Rhinolophus ferrumequinum: one gene and its partners. The protein of the gene in region 3 interacts with the protein of the main gene of each other region in a biochemical or structural test. Links are inferred from orthologs where the notes say so. Each region holds a gene or a part of one and is shown on either strand. Other genes may lie near its edges.

Region 1 (7,159 bases), on a different chromosome or scaffold from region 3:
CCTGGCCAGAGTTCTCACCAGTGGGCTGTCACGTGTGGCCTAAGTTCAAATGCTATCCTTAGTCCTTAAGTAACTTTTTTATTTCTTGTTCAAAACCTCATTGACAACAGAAAAAGAAGGAAGTCCACCATTTGTAGGTGAAAGGTCCCTTTTTAATCAGGGTTGAGCTGGTGAGGGAGCTGAGCAGCAGAAGGAGGCTGTTCCTCTGGTGACATTCTGTGGCATTTTGGCAGATAGATGTGCCCAGGTGGTGGGCATCACGGAGATTCAGCGATGCTGGTCTAGCAAAAATAACTTGCCTTCTTAAGACAAGATAGGGTTAAATAACTACATTTTGTAAAGGTACACCTACATTTTAAAATTGTTAAAATGGTGAATTTTGTGTGTGTGACTTTTATCTCAACTTAAAATTATTTGTATAAAAGTACACCTAATGCTGTCCTCATTCTGGAACTTTCTCCCTTTTTTGCCAATCAAATTTTACCATTTCAATAGTTGGAGTTGAGTATTCTTTTATTTGCAACCTAAAGCATCCTAACACATGTCATGTGTAACTCACGTATTTTTAATTTGAAAGAGTTAAATATGAGGACCTTGCATTCTAAATATTAAAATGTACAATGTACGGATATATTCTACAGTAAAAAAAAAATGTCTGGCATTAAATTCTGGATAAAAGTAATGAAATATTCATGGAGTTTCAAGGTCCCACTATCTAGAAACAAAAAGATTCCCTCCCTCTCTGCCACCCAAGCAAAAACGGAAGAGAAAACAAAAATGTAAAAGTCACCGGTAGTAACCAAACAAGAAAAGGAGAAGGGCTTAATGAGATGGACTTCAGAAAATGCTCGCTCATATAGAAAACAGAAGTTTGAGAGGAGCAGGGTGAGGTCATGCTCCCACCTCCCAGAAACCATAACTGGTGTGTCTACAAAATCTTGACAATTCTCATTCAAATCTTGATAGAAGAAAGAGGAGTGATAATTTATTCTTAGCTTTCCCCATTTTTGACTCTGAGGTAGTGAAAATGTCTGCAGTGGAGATTAGAGAAAAAAGAGAAATGTCAGCTTTCTGTATGACTGTCAGAAGTCTGAGGGCTCCAGGGACCCACATTAACTGGGGGACGGAGCTGATGCTCAAAGTTGCCCCCAAAAGAGTGGGGTAAGCTCTTCCCTCTCCATCTCCCAATGAAGAGTGAACCCTCCTGCCTTCAACCCATTCTCATGCAGGAGGGAGGACCCAGTTATAGCAACGCAACTCCATAACCAATGCCCAAAGGTTATAGAAAATCAGGCATAAAGGGACTAATAAACCCTAAAAGTGACTCCCAGAACGAAGAAAGAATCAATGATTCTTTGATCCTGATGTAAGGATCAAGGAGCTGTCACCCACAGAGGAGTAAACAGAAGGCCTGGAGAAGCTAGCAAGTGTGGGCAAGTAAAACACCCGACTAGTAACTATGCTCAAAGGATAAAGAATCAGAATGAATAGACAAAGGAAAAAGACTCAGAATGGTTTGGATTTCTCAACAGCAACACTGCAAACAAGAAAACAATGGAATAATGGCTTAAAATTGTGAGGAAAAGTAATTTCTGAACTAGAATTCTATACAATCATGCAGGATGGAAGAGCACATCCAAACCATCAATCACAGTTGACGATAGAACCTTTTTGGATATGGGAGGTCTTTAAACTATCTACAGTAGTACTCGGTTTTCGAACGTCTCCATTGACGAACATTTTGGTTTATGAATGCCGTAAACCTGGAAGTAAATGCTTCTGTTTTCGAACACGCCTCAGAAGTTGAACATGTCACGTGGCTTCCGCTAAGTGCAAGATCCTGAGGCCTCGCAGTAGGCTGTTTTCGAACGTTTCAGAACTCGTGGATTACAGTCGAAAACCGAGGTACCACTGTACTTCCATTTGTCAGGAAACTCCTGGAGATTGTGATCCACCAAAATGACAGAGTAAACTAAGGAAGAGAAAGGAATACAAGAAACAACATGGAATACAAGAAACAACTCCAAAATAAAAGTGAAAGGAAGCACAGAACAGAAACAGAAGAAATGCATCCTTGAGAAACTGTAACTACAAATTGACCAAAATTGTGCCCAAATTTCCAGCCCAAATTCATATCACTTTGGTGATCCAAAAAAAAAAGAAAAAAAGAAAAAAATGTAACCTGAGAACTTTTCTTAAATTATCCAAATACTAGTTAAACCCTAGGTTTCGCACAGAAGCAAAGAAAAATTCTCTCTGAAAGAAAATACCTTCTTCCCAGGCCTCAACTAATTTCCACAAATATTTCAGGGACAACAAGTGGCCAAGTACACAGTCTAACGTGACCAAGTACACAGTAAGGCAGGCACCGTGAACAAGAACCACAGAAACACTCAGACAACACAAGCAGATAGATATGCGAGACTTCAGGTGGTGGAAATAACACAACAAAACTGGGGGAAAAACATTGACTATTTTTAAAGAAATAAAAATAATAATCTGCAGGGAACAGGAGACTTTAAAAAGTGACTGTGTGTAGTGTCCCTGAGATCATCCTGGTGCGCATTTTGCTAGAAGGGCTTCCAGGACTCAGCATACAATCACAGCGAAGACTGATCACAGTGAAAAGATAAAAAGCACTCAGCACATGGGGGGAAAGAAGAAAGGCTGGGAGAAATGTGTTGAGTTTCAGGAAGATTTTTTCTATTCATAGATATTTGTGTGATAATTTTAACATTAAAAAATCATTACAAGCATACTAATTAACTTTTTAAAGATGACTCAAAGGTGGGAAGGACCCAGTACTACAGGGAGGCAGGCAGATGGATCTAGAACATCACCTACCTCACCGCCATTAGCGGCCCCTAAGGAAACATGTAATTTCAGTAAACGCAAGGCAGGACCCCTACTTTTCAGCAATATCGCCGACTCTACTTTTCAGCAACATCGCCGACTCTAAAAACCTCCTGCAGCCTCCAGTCTTTTAGAGAACAACTGCTATTTCACTGGCTCTTTGAAGCAAAAACAAGTCCAGTGGTTAACAAATATAATCATAATAAAAACCCTTCCTTGGGTTAAAAATTAAATGGAAAAATGACTGGAAGAGAATGCCCAAGTGGAAAGTCTGAGGGGCTCCAATCTAATGTAAACACTTCCTATCGCCTTATTCTTCTCCATGTCAATTATAATCTAACACACTATTTTGTATTGGTCATTGTGTTTTGGCTCAGGGTACAGGTTTTCAAAACAGTGTTACCAAAAATGTGAGGGTCTGGAAACTTTCAGGGGAACGGACATTTCAAAGAGGGCTGTCCAACAGAAAAAGAAAAAAATGCGGAGAGAGGATGGGGAAGGGGAACCAGGTAGGTGTTTTAAAACCATTTTAAGGACTACAGAGAAGGGTTAAACTTATTAATAATTTATTTAGCTCCAGACTGCAGACCGCGGTAGGTATTACAGAAGGAAGCAAGTCAAACTCACTGTCAAGAACTTGGTAGCAATTAAAGCCATCAGAAAACTGGCTGTGTTGGGCAAGCTGGGCCCACCCAAAGGTGCGCCTGAAGTCTGGCGTTCATCTCAGGCAGGTCACCTGGCGGGATTCCAGGGCCTCCTGGTCACCGGTCAGCAGGGGTGTCTCGGGTTGATGACTGGGAATGCACCGCACAAGGAAAAAGGTTCTCTTCCTGAGGAATTGCACGGGGAAATGGGGGTGCCCCTAACAGCCTGTCGTCCTTAAAAAAGGCGACAGGGGGAGAGGTTCTCGTTGTTGGCAGTGCCCCGCATGGTATATGACGGCCCCTGTCCCGGGCTTCTGTGCCCGGGAGACGGGTGGAACGGTCACCCGGCCGCTCTCCTCCTCCCCTCCGGCCTCCCAGGTCGACCTCGCCGCCGGGTACCCGCGCGCTCTGGCCGCCGCTGCCCTGCCCTGGGTTCTCGGGGCGCCTTTGGCGCTGGGGGCACAGGCAGCTGTGGGGGCGCACGGGGCGCTGGGGAGGCGGCCGGGAGGAAGTGTGGGGCCTGCCCGGGCGCGTTAAGGAAGTTGCCCAAAATGAGGAAGCGCCGCGCGCTGGGCGGGTGAGGCGACTCCGCGGCCGGCGCCGCTCCTCTCCCATCCTCCCGACGCCCCGGCCCCGCGCCCGGCGCCCCGCACGGCGACCCCACGCCGCCCCGCCCTCGCCTTACCTGCGCAGGTAGGTGTGGCGCGCGCTCCTTCCGCTCGGCCCGCGGGACCGCGGAGCCCCGGCGCTTTGGGGCCGGGAAGGCGGCGAGCAGGGAGCGCGGCCCTGCGCCTCCTTGGCCGCTTTCTGGGTGTCCGGGCTCAGCCGGGCAGGGACGCTCGGGGCCTTCGGCCTTTGAAAAAGGAGGGGAAATTGATGACATCGTTCGAATAGAAGCAGGTAGGTGGTGCCAGCTTTTCTCCTAAACCCAGAGCCTCACGGGGTCCGACTCCTGTACTAGGTGCCAGGCCTGGGCCCGGGGGTCAGTGCGGGGGTCCCCGGACCCCAGGTGCCCTGGCAGCGCCCACAGTGTCCCGACAGGGTCCTGGGAAGCAGGAGCTGGAGTCCGCCGGCACGGGGAACTCCAAAATAAGAAATTTTCGTTCGTCCATTTACATGAATGCCCTGGAAAATTCCACTGTATTTATCGAAGTGACTCAATGTACAAATGTTCGTGTGCCTGCAGAGGTTTTATATACACTACATTTCGTGTACTACAGAAAGAAAGAGCAGTTGCATCGACACATGAAACTTTCTTAACTACTACCAAAATTTTGCATGATTGCTCCTTTTACGACACGTTTTCGTGGTAAAGTAACTTAATTAGCCAATGAATGACTTGGAGCGCAGGGTAGTTTTATGCAGTAAAATGTAAATTTTAAGTGTTGTTTGTTTTTTTGTTTGTTTGTTTTTTTGTCAATATGGTTTAAAATATTAAACCCACCTAAATAACTGTACAAAGACAATTCTTTTTTTCGTTTGTCTGAATGTTGAAGTATTAGAAAGGCTTCGTTGGAGAAATTAGAGTTTAAATCGTTCTAAGTTGGAAACAGTGTTGCAGATTACTTGAATGAGTTTGCCTGACTCCCCAAAGATTTCATTGAACCCAAGTAGAACTGTTACTGGAGGAATTGGTCTTTCTCTTAAACCCTCGGAACATTTCAGCGTGTAGTTGAAAGAGTTGGAGTTGTCCCACATTTGAATCTTCGTACTAAATAATAATAATAATAAATAAATAATAATTGTGATAATGGAGAATTTCCAGAAGAAATGGAATTGACTCTAGTATCTGATTTCTTTGTTTTAGTAAGGACAAATTCATTGCTATTTCACAGGCAGGATTTCAATTAAAGGCAATTAAATTCATTAATGCCCCTCCCTGCCAAAAGTCTGGATGGTGCATAGATATATGTATTTGTATTTGAGCTAAATGATTAAAATACTTGTAAAGTGTTAGGTGTTTTAAGTGAGAAATCTTGTCAGTTAAAATGATTTTATCAAATCATTTTGTTCTATCTACATCATATGTGTGATGTGTTTAGAGTTTTGCAATAAAATAGAAATTGATTTGTATTCTCTATGTCTGTAATGCTTAGATATGTAGGATTATGTAGTCTTAACTAGAATTGTTTTTAATGTTTTAAGCCATGATGAAAATGAGGTGTGTACTTTAGGTCCTTACCTTTCCTGGGGGATGAAATTGGCTGGAAGATCATTTAATTGGTAGGTTTACACTTCAGAAATAGCTCACTTTAGCTTTCCTTCAGCTCATGTTTAATATTCTGAGAGCAGGTCTGATTTCTCTGTTTTTAACCCAGACTTCTTAGTAGGACACCACTTAGGCAGCACACTGCATGTTCGTGATCGTTTAAAACCCTTGTGCTCAGATAGGTTTTGGAATGCAGGATTTTTCACAGTTTAGAATTCAAAGTTAGAATTTTAGCATTGAGAAAGACATTTCTCAGAATTTAGACAGGTATGTATGCACACTGACACCGTATGGTGGGTACCACTCCGATACAGCCTCCTGTAATGGCACACGTTAATGTTTGTGCATTGACACTGTGAACAGCCTCAGTATGTGGAATAAATAAAGACTGTAATTAGCTGTGCGTCAGTTTAGGGCAGGCATTGTCCCTAAATGAGAGTCCCTAAAACTTACCAAAGAAACCTGTTTTTCAGAGCATTTTGGAGTTCGACTAAAGGACTGAGTCTGTGTGAGACTCCATCAAGCTACTGTTTTGCTTTTGAAAACACATTGCTTTTCTATTGCCCAATAACTCACACTTTTCAGTAATTAGATAGGCAATTCCCTTCTTGTCAGGGAGTCTGAAATAGCATAACTTCACTGAATTTTCAGTGATAACCATCAAAATGTAAATCCTGCAAGTAAGAATAGGATGTTTCATCCTTACTGATGTACTTTCAAACAGCAGATTTTCTGACAGTCTAGGATTGTAGAGCAAGAACACAGTGGTTACTCAAGGAAAGGGTACTATCACCATTTCCAACTGCAGTATGTGCTTGGAAGAAATGTCTCCTGTTCACTGTGCAGCTGGCTCTGTCGTCTGTGCCTAAGGAATGGCAGGACACTCCAATCTGACCTCATTTTTGCTGAGAAAGCTTTCACTGTAACAGATTTTTTCCAACTAACTCATCTTCTCTCCCCTGCCCCTCGTTTGCAAGTTTTAACATTTTCTTCCACTTCTGGATTGGTTTAGCTATAAATGAGTGGAGAAAAAATTAGGAATTTAGGCGTTTGGGGAGAATTTTTAAAAATGTCTGCATACTGAACTTTTTTTTTCTTTAAAAGCAATTAAAATCAAAAGGCAGAATCTTAAAGAGAGATTGGAATTAAATTGCCTGATTTAATTATGTCCTATCATCTTACTCTTCTACTTTGATTTGAACAGGTTTGTTCCTTTTCACGTGGAAAAGAGTTTAAAAAAATTTTTTAACTGAGGAATTGTGGGAAAATTTTTAAAAAATAGGCTAAATTTTAAAGGAAAAAAAATCATCCATTTTGACACTATATTACCAGGGAAATTTTCTATTAGCGTATAAGTTTGTCTGACAAAGTTATTTTGCATCATTTTGACTTTTTTTTTTGCCCTTAAGAATTAATTATGTAAGTTTTGCCATGTGACTCTTGAAAGGTGATT
Region 2 (7,548 bases), on a different chromosome or scaffold from region 3:
GTAAGTTACTTCACCTCTCTGAGCTGCAGTTTCTTTGCCTAGAAAAGAGGAATATAAATCTCTACCTCATAAGATTGCTTCTGAGCATCAAATGCGGTCAAGGCCCCGAAAACATCAAGTACATAGTAGATGCTCAGTGAACTTTCACTTCTGCTCCTTTCCCTTGAGGAAGGCCCCCTCCAAGGCTGAAAGAGGAGGAGTGGCCAGGCTGAGAAGAAAGAGAAGTTCCCTGGGTGAGGTGGGTGGGCTGAGCTGGCCCAAGCTGCCTGGGGGATTTCACCAAAAGAGAACTGGGACTTTGGGCAGCAGACAGGAAACCGCGATCCTGCAAGAGTTCCGGCTTCTCCTCAGGGCTCTGGGGGGGGCCAGGGACAGGCCAGGGCTGGAGCGGCAGGGCACAAGTCTCAGCCCCATGACCTCCTATCCGTCACCAAGACCTGACCCGCCCTGACTGAAGGCTTCCATTCCTCACTGAGACACTCCACCCCTCATGGAGCTCCGGTGCCCTTACTGACCCCTCTTCTCCCTCACTGAGGCTCCCACCTCTCATTGACCCTCCAACCATCTCCCACCAGGCTTTCTTGAGGCCTTACCACCCCACCCCAGAACACCCAGGGACGAAGGCTTACCCCATTCTGACTCTACTACCCTGGTGGGGCCAGGTGTGAGGGATAGGGGAGAGGGGGATAGGGCAAGGACGGGGAGGGTACCTATCTTTGCCACACTAGCTTTACCCTCTATATGGTCCTGAGGGTGTCAGCTGAATTTTCTTCACTTCTTGTAGGTAAAAGTGGTTTCTCATCTGTTGCTGAAAACATACTCATCAGCCTCTAAAACAGGAGTCTTTAGAAACTTGAGATTCTTGGGAGCTGGGAGACATGTGTGGTCCAGGAGGAGCTGAGGAACAGGAGTTTAGATTCCACAGTGTGGCCAGGCAGGAAGCCCCCACCCCGGGTCCCCCCTTAGGCCTGCTGGAAGGGCCCTTACTCTCCCTTCTCTGGCTCTGGGGCCTCGCTACCCAGCTTCTCAAGGTCTGGCCACTTCCTTTTCCACATCAGCCCGAGGTGGCTGCAGAGAACACCGAAATACCCACACCTATTCTCAGACACTCATGCTCATTCACTCATTCCCTCACAAACACTTCCACACCCTCACTCACAGCTTCACACCCACTGAGGAGCAGGAGCCAGCCCTGAAACCCAGGAATCCCATATCTTCTTGTACCATTGCCCTTCACCCATTCCCCTCTCCAGAAGTTTACATTGGATTTGGTAGGGATGAGGAGGGAACTTAGGCCTCAGTTCTGGCTACTTCCTTCACCACATCAGGGACAAAATGCCCAGGACTCTGGATCCCTACTGTTGGCCCTGTCAGTCATTGACTCCCAAACCTCCATCTTCCCATCTGTGAAGTGGGAACAGAGCTCTGCTCTCCCACTACCACCACCAAAAGCAGAAGGAGGCAAAAGGACTCAGAATCACAGGGTGTGGCACCGTGGGGGTTGGGGACAGATTTCAAACCTGCTGACATTCCCTTAACAGATCACAAACATTTATTTATTAGACGTCAACTGTGTGCTGGTCCTTGGAGGCCCTGTCAGGCTTTCTGGTTTTTGAGAAGGTGAAGGGGAGGTTCCCTGGGGTCAGTGATAAATAACTCTTAACCCCTCCAGGACACTGGGCAAAAAATGCTTTCTGCACCTGATTCTCATGACTGGGGATGAGGTGGGATCTAGCGGTTGGATAGGGGCAGAGATCATTTCCCCCTATAATTCAAATGAGGAAAATGAGGCCCAGAGAAGCCCCATAACTTGCCGAAAGTCACACAGCAATCAAGGGCCAAGTCTACCCAAGTTCTTGAATCTGCAGATCGCCCACCCCAGGATCCCTGAACACCAAGCATCATCGCTTTACTTCTCAGTTCCGCAGCCCGCCTCCGACTGAGGACACAAAATGGGGGCGGAGAGGGGACCAAAGGGGACTGTGAGGGCAATGTGCACTACAGTAGCCAAGTGCCAGGCTCTGCCTCTCCGCCCTCTTGTTGCCATGGTGACAGCCCCTCCCGGCAATCACGGTCAAAGGCAGGATTTCCGTCGGGGCAGCCAGCAATTCCCGGATCCCGAGGGGGAACGTGGACCGAGAGCGCCACTGCGGGCGGGGAAGGGGCACCCAGAGAGGCCTATCCCTGTTGAGGCGGGGACTTCCCCAGGAAGCCGGGACCCACGCCTCTAGCGCCTTGAAGGAGTCCCCTCTCTATGTACAGTCCGCCGACCAGTGCGGGGTGGGGAGGGGGCTGATAGGTAGCCGCCTCCGCTCCACCCGCCCCGCCCCCCGGCTGGCTACAGGCTTCCCCCCCGACTTTTGCCGATTCCAGATTGGAGGACTTCATGGAACCCCGGAATTGCGCCCTACATTCTGCATCCTCCACAGATGGCTCTCCTTGACCCCTTCCAGCAAACTCCCACACCTGATCCTCCCAGTGCCCTCACCTGCTTCCCCTCTTCCAGACCCCTCAGCTTCTCCCCAAACCCTCAATTTCAAGGTTCCCTCAGTTTCTCGCCCAGCCACTTTTGGGGGTCCCTTTAGTCCCTCGCCCCCGATTCAGCCCCCTTCCCCAATTCTATCAATCTCACTGAAGAGGTTCCCTCCGTCTTCCCCACCAGACCTTTTTTTGGGGTCCCTTTAGTCTGCTTTCCATATATTCCCTCACCCTCCTCCCCACATTTTATCACTCTTACTCTCCAGGTCTCCCGTTTTCCTCTTTAGCTTCTTTTCGGGGTGGGGCCGCTTTGGCCCTCAACTCCCTCAGTCCCCCTCCCTAAATTCAGGCTTACCCCACCTAGTCCTCCCTCCAGGGCCGCAGGCAGGCCAGGGGCGGGGCACCGCGCTGCCCCTCCAGCCCCACCTGACGGCCGCCTACCTGGTGCCAGGGGAGGCGGCTTCTGACGAACCTCAGGGCGAGCCAGCTGGGCTCCCAGCAGCCACAAGTGCCGACGTGTGGAGGGAGAAAACTGGGGTACTGCCCGCCTCTGACCGCCGCCCCCTCTGGGCAGGGAGGAGGAAGCCGTCTCGGACTTCTCTTATTGCAGCCGCAGCGGCAACAGCGGTGGCGGCGGGGAGAACTCGCAGTCACGCCCCTGCCCCAAGCTGCCGGCAGCGGGGAGGGGCCCTCAAATCCCAGGCAGGTCCGCCCGCCCCCACTTTCCGCCTCGGTTACGGGGGTCGGCTTTCCCACCCAACTCCTCCCCGCAGACCTGAACCCCCAGGACAGACTTCTTAAGGGCCTCTTCCAAGGGGACAGGTTCCTGCTCCCACCCAGAAGCACCAGCTCTTTTAGAATCATTGCATTTGAGGTTAAGAGGGTTTTTTCTCTAGCATTGAAGCCCCCATTTTGCAGGTGGGAAAACTGAGGACCAGATGAGGACAGGCCTTAGCAAATTTTCACAGCCAGTTGACCTCACACTGCTGTGACCAGAGCCACCAGTCACCATGCTTTGCCATCCTCAGGGGCTGCTGGGTGCTGGGGACACAGAGATGTCGGACAGTGGGAGCTGCAGGAGACCCTATCCTTAGGAAACTGCTTTTCAGAGCAATCAGCCATCAGCCCAAACTAAGGGAGGGGGAGGGTGTCAGCCTCCCCCCCCACACCCAAGTTTTAGAAAAACTGAGTGTCTTCCTCTATCACAGTTCCAGCCTTTCCAACTAGCAGGGATCCCTGAACCCCCTCAACCTGGGGTTCAATCCCCCCTCTGGCCACTGTTACTTTTTTAGCCTTAAACTAAGGACAAGGAAAGTCCCTCCTGTCAGGGGAAGAAGAAATGAGTGTAACAGGGCTGTTTGGTGGAGAAGTGTGTGTGTGTGTTGGGATACGGTGGGAGGCCGGGAGGGTGTGTGAGCACAGATGTGTGTGTGTGTGTGTGCGCGTGCGCGCACGCGTGCATGCGATTGTAGTCAGTGAACACGATGACTGCAATTTTGCAATCAACTGGGACACATTCTGCATGTATGAAAATAGGGATGTCTGTGAATGCCTGTGTGTGCGTGTGCACTTGTACATGCACCAAGGTGTATCCCAATGTGATTGTGGGGTGGCAGACTATGGTGGAATGCAGGTAAGAAGGCTTTCTCCTTAGGAAAATGAGAGAAGGAATGGGGAGGAAGACACAGGGAAGGAGGTGAAGGTGCAGGAACTTGGGAAGGATGGCCTTATGCTTGCTGGGCACCATCTTCTCCACTATCAAGCACTCATTGACTGGCCATTGGTCCATGTGTTTTTTGTTTTAAAGACAACTTTTTGGGGGGACAGGGGGCAATATTGGGGAACAGGGTGTTTCTCCAGGGCCCATCAGTTCCAAGTTGTCCTTCAATCTAGTTACGGAGGCCCATCAGTTCCAAGTTGTCCTTCAATCTAGTTACGGAGGGCGCAGCTCACTGGCCCATATGGGAATCGAACCGGCAACCCTGTTGTTCAGAGCTCGTGCTCTAACCAATGAGCCATCTGGCTGCCCCCGGTCCATGTGTTTAATGAACAAACAAACATTTACCATTGCCTGTCAAGTTGCCATCCTTAGGGAACACAGAGATGAAAGAGACTGATCCTTGTCCCTGCGCGGTGGTGTGTGTGTGTGTGTGGGGGGGTCCCCAAATCTATCAGGCTTTCTCTGTCATCCTTCAAGATCTGGCTCCTCAGGACGCCTTCCCTGATTGCCATCCCCATCCCCAGTAGAGCACTCAGCACCTTCTGCCTGGTGACCACTAGTTCCCAGGGTGTGGAGGTGTGAGATGCATTTTCCTCAAGGGCAAGGATTGGGTCTGGCTCTTGTCAATGCCCCCAGTGCCCTCACAGGATCTGGCACAGAGTCGTAGGCTCTCTGGGCATAGAAATGCATGGATTATTCAAGGAGCAAAGGAATTAACAGGTGAACAAATGAAAGGCCAATGAAAAAAATAAATAATTGAAGGTAAAAATTAAAGAATGAATGAAGAAATTCAAGAATCAACGACTGAATAAGTAAATTAATGGAAAAACAAAACTGCTGCTTTTAAAACACAAATTGGACAAATTCCTTAAAACTCTTAATGGCGTACCTCCCATTTTGCTTGGAACAATAAAAATAAAGTAAAATACAGGAATAATAAAGAATAATCCAAATGCCTTGCCATGGTCTCCCAGGCCTTGTGTGCCTGGACCCTGCCCACCTCTCCAGTCCATTGGGCCTTCTTCTTCCTCTTTAGCCAGGGAAATCCTTTTCAGTTCCTAGAATACATTAAATTTTTGCTTCAGGGCCTCCTCACATGCAGTTCCCTCTTCCTAAGACACTTTCCTTGCTCTTTATAGTACTGACTTCTTTCTACCCTTTACCTGAAGTGCTGCCTCCTCAGAGATGTCTGCCCTGACCACCCCATCTAAGGATCACCCCTCATTCTTGCTCTTGGCACCCAGTTGGTCCCCTGTATGACAGCTGTCACAATCTAGAATGGTATACTTCTCACTTCCTTGTTTATTGTCTGTGGATCTTTCTTGACCTCAAGAGATACCTGACATTACTCACGACAGAGATTCTATGAATCATTTATCCATTTAGAAGAACCTGATGGTTAGGAACATGGACTCTGGGCCCAGACTACTTGGTTTGTAACTATCTCTGCCTCTTCCTAGCTCCATGACCTTTGACAAATTATTTTACCTTTTTGTGCCTCAGTTTCCTCAACTGTAAAATGGGGATAATAATAGACCCCAACTCACAGGAGTCTTGGGAGAAAACAATGAGCGGTTAGACTTGTGCTTGGCACCTCGTAAGTGCCATATAAGTGTTTGCTATCATTCATTCATTTAATCAAACCTCAAATCTTCCCTGCCATTACCCTGTGCCAGGCTGGGTGCTGGGGGCTCAGATAGGAATCAGGTCCAGTCCTTGACCTCTATATAGACTTGCTCCCTATGTGGCACAGGTGACTGGTGAACACAGGGCAAAGAGGCCACAGGAGGGGCCTGCTAAAATCCCCCACTATCCTTCCAGCTCCTGTGTTCACATGTTCCTTTAATTCAATTTTGAAAACTGATAGCAAAACCAAAATCATAGCCCAACAAGCCTGCTGAGACCTCCTATCCATTTCCCATCTAGCTATCACTCTCCTGCTCTCACTTCTGTTTTCAACCAGCCTAGATTCTGTTGTCTCTCCTTATAGTCCTCCTTTGCAAAGACCCTGCACTGCTTGCCTCCCTCTCCCTCCAGTGTACTTGCATGGAAAGCCCCAGACCTGCAGGAATCCAACTATCCACCTTCTCTGGGTGTGGAGGAGAAAAACCACCTGCCATGCAGACAGGGTCACAACTCCCAGCCCCAAAAGGACACTACTCAGGCCCACCTACCCTCCAGGGTGTTTCTTAGTAAGCTGACCCTGGTATCTGCCCAGATGACCAGTTCACACCTTTTCTTCTCTCCCCCAACTTCCCACCTCTTCTCTCCCTTCCTGACTTACATTCCAAATCTTCTCATCTTTTGAGGACTTTACACCTTCCATAACCCCCTCTCCTGCACCATCGTCTGTCCGGCTGTCCATCTCCACAAGATTATCCTCCCAGCGTACAAACAGTTTCTAGAATTTTTCAGTTAAAAATAAAAAACAAAAACCTTCCCTTTGAGAATTAAGCATTTACCTGCCTTTTTAGGAGGAACTGCAGTTCATTCCTAGTTGATGAGGGAAAGCTTTTCTTTGTAGAAAAATGCCAGCTAACACACTAGAAGGAATGTGAGAACTAGAAAAACTCCATTTTGCAGCCCCAATTAGATAATCAATTAGGCAAGAATCATCATCAATGTATTTGTCAGCTTGGGTTGCCATAACAAAATACTGTAGACTGGGTGGCTCAAACAACAAGCATTTATTCCTCACAGTTTTGGAGCCTAGAAGTCCCAGATCAAGGTCTAGCAGGGTTGGTTTCTGGTGAGAGCTCTCTTCCTGGCTTGTAGAAGACATCTTCTCCATGTGTCCTCACATGGCAGAGAGAGAACCAACTCTGGTGTCTCTGCTTGTAAGGACACCTGTCTGATTGGATTGGAGCATCACTCTTATGACCTTATTTAACCTTAATGACTTCCATAAGGGCCCTATCTCCAAACAAAGTCACATTGAGGGGTTAGGGCTTCAACATAAGAACGGGGTGCGGAGGGGTGCAATTCAGTGCACAGCAGACGCCAAACCACTAGGTGAAACGTTTTAAAGAACAGAATGTTCACCAGTGCTACAGGAGTACTGTACAGCTGATCTGGTATCTGCTTTCCAACGGAGAGATCTGGTGGGCACCCCATACTGGTGTCAGCAAACTATGGGTTAACTATGGCCCTCTGCCTGTTTTTGTGCAGCCCTGTGAGTTAAGAATGGTTTTTACATTTTTAAATGGTTCAAAGACTCAAAGGAAGAATAATATTGCGTGACATATGCAAATTACGTTAAATCCAATTTCAATGTCCATAAATAAAATTGTATTAAAACACAGCCATGCTCCATTTACATATTACGTATGGTTGCTTTCATGCTACAATGA
Region 3 (7,326 bases):
AAGGTAAAAAAAAAAAACTCTTCCTGAGTTTGTTGGGCTTTAATTGTTTTCAGATCAAAACAATCTGCAAGTCAGGGCGGCACATTCTGGGGAGCCTTGCAATGGACCCCCACACTAGTCTCCTCTTCCTCAAACCAAAGCCGGAGGCAAGCACATCCTCATTCATACCTCAGTGGTCTGTATCTCCAGCAGCAAGGGGATGAGCTTGGGCTCCCGAAGGGCTGAATGGAGCAGGAAGAAGCAGTGCTTGTGAAACAAGGAATCTGGAATGTGGCCCAGGGATGGCTCAATAGGGCTTTCAAGGGATAAGCATGGGGGTTAAAGGGGTCCCCCACATCAACTCCCAAAACACTGTGACCAGGAACCATTCAATCTAATTCTCACATTTCAGAAGGCGAAGTGAAGCCTCACACAAGGCCACACAATCTAGCTGTTGTCTGAGGAAAGACCCCCAGATAAATAAAGACATATGTTAAGCGGCCAGCACAAACACACTGACAGCACAGGACTCAGGAACACAAAGTGTGACAGCCTCCCTCCTATGCACAGGCCAGGATGGAAGTCACATGTACTCATATACCTGCGTTCAAGCCAGCTGAGGCTGAGATCACAAGGGCACTTTTTTGTCTTGGCAAAGCAGCCTAGGGAGAGAGAAAGGCCTTGGGCCTGCAAGCCTAAGATGGGGGTGAGAGGGGCTGAGGGAGGTGATCAGGATGCCCAAGGTCAGCGTGTCCGACATGTCCGTTTGGCCTCTCCTCCTTTGTTAACCTTGGGACTAGAGCTAACCCCTGGGCCCAGGGACTGACCTTCCAGTGGTTGTAAGTGTTCTTAAAAGGCTAACTTTAGGAAGTACAGATTTCCTTATCAAAATCTTTCAAATAACTCTCCTGCGGCCCCAGGGAGGCCTGGTGCCTTCCCTGTGGGGACTCCTTCCAAGTAACTAATTCATAAAGACACTTCCTCAGCAACTCATGTCCCAGACTTGAGGCCCTGTGGGGTAGGCCCCAGTTTGTGGCCTGGACCTCGGACTGTGGACCGTCTCCTCCCTTTTTCTGTTTGTTTTCAGTGCTCTGACCCAGGCTGGCTGGTGAGGTAGGCAGAGGGAGGAGACTCTGGTGCCAACACACACACACACACACACACACACACACCACGCACGCACACACATACACACGGTTTTGTGTCCCCCAGTCTCAGCGGCTGGTCAATAATTGACTGGCGTTTCACAGGCTGCTGGTTTCAGACCCCAGTCTATTGACCCTCAGAGGTCATCTCCCTAAGCCAGAGCCCCTTCATGCCTCTTCAGTGCCAGTAGTCACCTTTGCTGCCCACAGGCCGGGTACCTGCAGCCCAAAGACCTTCTCGTGCAGATCTCATGTATCTTTCCTCTGCCCCTCCATTGGCTCCACTGTGTGCTGCAGTTATACCCCTTCTCTGTAGCTGTCTCCCTCCCCAGGGTCCTTCCTGGACCCTGCTGGCAAACTCTCAGGCTCATGTCGGTCCCCCAGCCCCCTCCAAACCTCCACCCCCACCCCCCAGCCTTTGTCTGTCAGATATCCTCTTTCGTTGGCTCTCCTGCCAGGCCATGCTGGAGGGGCAGTGGAGGGGAGAAGCGAATCAGCAGCGCCCACCCCTGCCCCCCTTCCTCTCCTCTTGTCAAACACCAGACAAGGCTTTTTCCCCTTCCTTCCCGGCTCTGAATGGGCTCATTCTCTCTGGGAACCCCGGCCCCTCTCGAACCTCCTCCCGGGCAGGCGTGAGTTCTGACCTCCGCTCCTCCCTAATCCCACTCCCGCCTGCAGGCTCCGCCCCCTCAGAGCAGCCCAATGGGACTGACCATGGTCTCCAGTCCGGGTTTCTTTCTGGGATGCAGAGAGGGTGGGCTTGTCTCGGCAGGGGTAGCAGGGGGTTGGTACGGGTAGTTAGTTACCGGGATTTCTTGGAGGACCCTCCTTTGGCTCCCCTGTAGGGGCCCTGGGTAAGGGTGGTTTCATGGTACCCTTGATTCAAGCTCTGGAGGGGAATGGATGAAGCCAAAGCCTCGTGCCTCAGTTTCCATTATCTTGGAACCTCAAACTTCCTCTTCTGCAAAATGGGGACAGATAACAAGCGCCTCCTCTGGCACCTTAGGACTCAGTGAGATAAGGAGTGTGCCTCTAGGACAGAGTGGTACAGAGTAGGGGTCCAGTCCAGGAAAGGATGGTGCCACAGAAGCGTTCCTGGCTGGACCAGCCCTCCTAACTCAAGGGCAGGGTAGAGTGGACCTGGAGGAGAAGGGACTTCTTTAACACGGACCCTAACACCCTGATTGGTCTCTTGAAGGCTCAATGCACACACGCTCAGGGGCAAGCCGTCCCGTGTGTGACCAGCAAGCGACTCTTGGAGCCAGGTTATCATCTCCTCTCCCTGGAGGGCTGAGAGACACCTTGACCAGGTCCTGGGCTATGTGCTGGGGTGAGGGTGAGGAGCTGATTTTGCTGGCTGTTTGACTTTTTCTTCATTAGCCCGGAGAGGGTCCTGGCCAAATTGGTTGATTCGTTTGAGCCTCCATTTCCTTGACCCTACCCTCTCTAACTCTTAACTTGAACCCTAGAGAAAATAGGAATATTGGTGCCCATCCTGAAAGGCAGCTGTGTCCCCATACACAGTAGTATTTCTTGAACGTTTGTGACTATGATCCAAAGAATCAATCCATTGGACCTCATCACCAAGATACACATACCCTTCCTTACCCATACTTACCCTTACTACATGTGATGTGTGCAAATCTTTTCTATTCCATTCCATTTCTTGAAAACAAACAAAAAAACTTGTCTTGATCATCTAAATTGGTTTCATGACCAACTTTCTAATAAAACCTGACTTGCAGTTTGAACATCACTGGTTAGAGCTGGAGGGGATTTACCATGGTGTTAAGGGAAGGTTATGTTTCAGGCCCCTCATTTGCATGTGTCAAATTTTGTGTTCATAACTTTGTATTCCTTTTCCTAAGGAGATCCCCCAAATTTCATAAGCTTCAGGCCCCACAAAACCTGATCTACCACAGTATAACTAAACCTGAGACCATTTATTGAACAATTACTATATGCTAAGTACTGGGCTGAGTGCTTTAGCAGCATTATCTCCTTTAACCCCTAGCTTAGAATGCCAGATGCTATTTTACAAGGAAGCAAATGGGCCCAGAGAGGCTCAGTCACTTGCCCAAGGTCACACACACACAGCTAATTTGTGGTGAAGTGGAGATTTGCACCCAGGTCATTCTGATCCCAGAACACCCTGTTCTCAGCCCCCCTACTGTAAAAGTGCCTGCCTGTAACCAAGCTGGGAATATGGAAGCAGATTAAGAAATGCTACTGTCCCTCATTCTCCAGCACTCAGCAGGTGACTCTGATCCCCTCTGGAACAGCACAAGCTCTTGTCTGAGGCATTCCAACTAGAGTTACCAGATTTAGCGAATAAAAATAAGGATGCCCAGTTAAATATGAATTTCAGATAAACAACAAATAATTTGTTAGTGTAAGTTGTATGTCCCCTGCAATGTTTTGTTGGAATGTCCAACAGAAACATGCCTTTCTTCCATCCCCTGCCCCCACTCCACGCCCCACCCCCCACTGGGCTTTAAGGACAGGGTCAGGGGCTCCAGGTGGAATGCAGGGTGGGGAGGTGGAATTGAGCAAGCTAATAAAAAGCAAGGGACAGAGGCAAAAACCTCGGATAAATTGGTGTTGAATGCCCCAATGGTAAAGAAACAAGAAGGATGTTTTTCCAAGGACTGAGATGGAGGTCCCTCCAATTTGACTCTCTCCCTCCAAACTTGTAAACCCTCTTAAAATCATGCTTTTCAGACTGGAAAAGATACCTGAAAAATTCGAGAAGGTATCCTAGGGAGTCCTGGAAGCCACAGGTTAAATACAATACACACCCCTCCTCGACTATCAATTTTACCTCAGAATGTGGTGGGAAAATCATTATTGGTATTAAAACGGATAGGCATGTGATGGAGTAGGATGCAAACTCGCCAGAAATGTTTAAAATAAAACGGGCGACTTAAAAGAGACTTAAGGATGGCAGCCTAAAGCCCTTGCCCCAGACTCCCGGGGGAGGGGGCGCAATCACGTCCTGTGCTTTTAGGGGCTCTCTATGGAAACGAATGAGAAGTGCGGCAGGCACCCCGGGCGTCCGGCCGCTGGGAGGGACGCGCACCCCAGGCCTGCGCCGAGAGAGGGAGAAAGTGAGGCCGGGAGTTGCCACTCCCAGGGACTTGCAGGAATGCGGTTGGAGGGGGTGGCGGGGGGGGGGGGGCGAGCTGTGAGCGCGCTGGCTCCCAATCACAGGAGGAGGAGGAGGTAGAGGAGGAGAGCTGCCTCGAGGAAGTACAAGAATGAAGTTGTGGGGCTGAGATTCCCTTCCATCGTGCACGGAGAGCTCAGAAGATCCCCCCCAGGCAGCGGCCCGCCCCTTTGCGGGGTGCTCTTTCCGGCGCCGAGCGCCTGGCCTCTCCGCCTGCCTTGCCCGGCGCCCCCTCAGCCTGGTCCAGCCGGAGCCATGGGGCCGGAGCCTCAGTGAGCACCATGGAGCTGGCGGCCTGGTGCCGCTGGGGGCTCCTCCTCGCCCTCCTGCCCCCTGGAGCCGTTGGCACCCAAGGTGGGTCTGAGTTGGGGAGGGCAGGGAGCCGCGACGGGACCTTGCAGCCTGGGACCCCGCTGAAATCCGCGGGCAGGCGAGGTAGGGGGTGCCGTACGAACTTCCAGACCCGAAGTTTCGGACAGTCCAGGCGCTCGGAGCCGCCGGCCCTCTGCGGGGAGGGGGCAAAAAAAGGTGGGGCAGGGGGGTCAATTAAGACGCCTCTCCGTGTCTCTTTATGGAGACAGGCGCTTTCCGGACTCCGCGACAGCTCCGGGAACTTTTCAGAAAAGTTCTCTGAAATTGTTCAGAAAGTTTCTCTCCAAGGGTGTATTGCACTGTGTGTGTGTATGTGTCCCCTTCTTGAGCCCCCTCGAGCTTTCTCAAAGCCTTTCCAGTTGGCAGCCTCCGCCTCCGGACTGGACCGGGCTGGATTCCCCGGGGGTCCCTCCTGCCCTGCCCCTACCCCTACCCCCTCCTCGCCCCCCTTCAGCCGACTGGGTTTAGTTACTCCAGCTTCAGGCAAGATCGGGGTGTGGAGGGGGAGGTGGGGAAAACAACCTGTCCGGCCAGAGCCGGGAGGAGAGGCTGGCCAGTCGGACTGCGAAGTTGCCTCACGCTGGAGTCGGGGGTGTGGGGGGGGAGGGGGAGACGTTTGTTTTGAACAAGTTTCTTTAGGGCCAGCTCCTAAAGAGACTGTGTGCTTTGTGACTTTTGAAGAGCAGGGGCGGCAGAGGGGTGGTGGTGGGTTTCTTGGTCTGGGGCATAAAATGGGAGAGTTCTATGAGAGGGATTCCTGGGCAGTGGGAGGCGAAGAAATAGGACCAGACAGGGGTGTGCAGAGGGGTGGATTGTGCTGCCTTTCCCCTCGTGCTGTGTGTGGAGAAGCTGATGGGGAGACTACCGAGTGTCTGGCCGCATCTGTCCATCCCGATGCAATAACGATTAAAGCTGGAAATACTGCGTGGTATTTTGCATGTGTTCCCTCCTTTAATCCTCAGAACAACCCTATGAGAGAAGTTCTACTGATATTCCCATTTTCCTTCTGAAAACCTGGGCTTAAAGAGGTTAAGTAGCAGCAAGTAAGTAGTGGGGACCCCAGTGAGCCCCCAACCATACATTTGAAACCACTGTTAATCCACCTTGAACAATGGCGTCACTGCTCCCTGCGGCACTGGGTCCTGGGAGTAGTGGGTGGTCTCCATAGATCAGGGAGTCTGGAGAAGGGGTGGGTGTCATCCTGTCTGTGTCACCTGAGGGCCCCCCTGCCAGAGCATTGCTGTGATATCTGAGGGGTGTTCTTGAGGTGTGTGTATGTGTGTGCGTGTGTGAGTGTGTGTGTGCGTGCGTGCGCGCCCGCTTTGTGTTGCCAAACACTCTCTCTGCTGACTTGGGGACTTGACTGAACTCTGCCCTCTCAAGGAACTCCCTGAAGGTGCTGGGCCAGCTCTGCTGTAAACAGTGGGAGGTGGCCCCACGCCTTCTCTCTGAGGAAGAAGTCTCCTCTCCGGGAGGGAGCCCACCCTTCCCTGTTACCCAGGCCGAGTCTTCACCTCTGACCTGCTGAGAAGGCTGAGGGCTGGCTGGGCTGTCAGGCTGAGCTGTTGTCCTCCTCACCTGGGCCTTCGAGTTGAACAGGTGGGGAATGGCTGGGTTGCTGCAGTGCTGGGATCTGAGGAGTCAGTTCCCCCACGGGAGACTGGGGTCTCCTCGTCACTCCTCAACCCACACTGCGGGTGCAGTCAGATGTTGAATGTGTTGCTGGAAATGGTCTAAAATGGCAGCACACCACCAAGCTGCCTCTAGCACCCTTATTACATCCAAGGGCTGAGAGCTGGGTTAAGAATGTGGGGAGAAGGGGAGATGGAGAAGGACCCAGAGAGTCGGGATTTTTCTGAGATCCTCTCTTAGAGGTCAAGGTTTTATAAAGGATAGCAAACACATCCTTTTTATCTTGCAGAGCTCATATTTAATTCCCATATGAGTCTCCCAACAGCCTCTTTCCTTCTTTTTACTATACTTAGGGAAAGTAACTTCATTTTAATACTCACAGACACACAAACAATTGAAAAGATGGGATCCAATGCAAGAAGAGAAAATACATTGCATTCCAAATACAAAGCACCTTTTCTTTTCTCTCAGTTGGGAATTACCCATACTACTGCTGTGTGAACTTCCCTTTCAAAAAATGTACATCGTGTTTCCTACATGCCAGGTTCTTTATCCATACAGTTTCATTTCATCTCTGCAACAATCCTGTGAAGTTTCTGCACAGATGAGAAAACTCAAGTTCAAATAAATGAAGTGACTTATCCAAGGTTTCCCAGTGACCCAATAATGTCCAGGGCAATTTTGGACTCTAACGAGGAGGCATTAAGAGTTGGTCAGTCTTGTTCCATTCAATAGGAATGGGTTGAGCAAAGCCTCAGGGGCAGCCGGGTAGCCCGACTATTCTGTTACGCAGGTGAATGATCTTCCTTATTTAGGCTGTAGAAAGTGTAGCTCAACTGGCCCCCACCCGTGTCATCGCTTGGCTTTGGAGTTCTCTCTCTCTCCCTGTCCAGCCCATGTCTGCTTCTTTCTTGGGCGCTCCCAGAGTGGCAGGGAACTGAGAGCAGGAGTGGGGCAGAGGCCAGTGGCACTTACAGGGTTGTGGGGAGGGAGACAGCTGAGTGGAAGCATGAGGGGCCAGGGTGGGATGGG

The links. The genes of interacting proteins can lie anywhere in the genome.
Region 1: the proteins of ERBB2 (region 3) and SYK form a complex in vitro, tested with the Homo sapiens proteins (2 studies listed by BioGRID and IntAct, with this or other methods). The link is inferred for Rhinolophus ferrumequinum from reciprocal best matches to the Homo sapiens genes ERBB2 and SYK.
Region 2: the proteins of ERBB2 (region 3) and FGR form a complex in vitro, tested with the Homo sapiens proteins (2 studies listed by BioGRID and IntAct, with this or other methods). The link is inferred for Rhinolophus ferrumequinum from reciprocal best matches to the Homo sapiens genes ERBB2 and FGR.

Annotation. Positions count from the first base shown.
Region 1 is NC_046295.1:3,382,889-3,390,047, reverse strand, and holds the start of SYK (tyrosine-protein kinase SYK), read left to right. Parts: upstream 1-4,064; 5' UTR 4,065-4,190; exon of another isoform or gene 4,191-4,397; intron 4,398-7,159. UniProt on the Homo sapiens protein: Non-receptor tyrosine kinase which mediates signal transduction downstream of a variety of transmembrane receptors including classical immunoreceptors like the B-cell receptor (BCR).
Region 2 is NC_046292.1:18,957,961-18,965,508, forward strand, and holds the start of FGR (tyrosine-protein kinase Fgr), read right to left. Parts: upstream 3,096-7,548; 5' UTR 2,920-3,095; intron 898-2,919; exon of another isoform or gene 821-897; intron 1-820. UniProt on the Homo sapiens protein: Non-receptor tyrosine-protein kinase that transmits signals from cell surface receptors devoid of kinase activity and contributes to the regulation of immune responses, including neutrophil, monocyte, macrophage and mast cell functions, cytoskeleton remodeling in response to extracellular stimuli, phagocytosis, cell adhesion and migration.
Region 3 is NC_046304.1:36,302,050-36,309,375, forward strand, and holds the start of ERBB2 (receptor tyrosine-protein kinase erbB-2), read left to right. Parts: upstream 1-4,314; 5' UTR 4,315-4,571; coding exon 4,572-4,644; intron 4,645-7,326. UniProt on the Homo sapiens protein: Protein tyrosine kinase that is part of several cell surface receptor complexes, but that apparently needs a coreceptor for ligand binding. Essential component of a neuregulin-receptor complex, although neuregulins do not interact with it alone.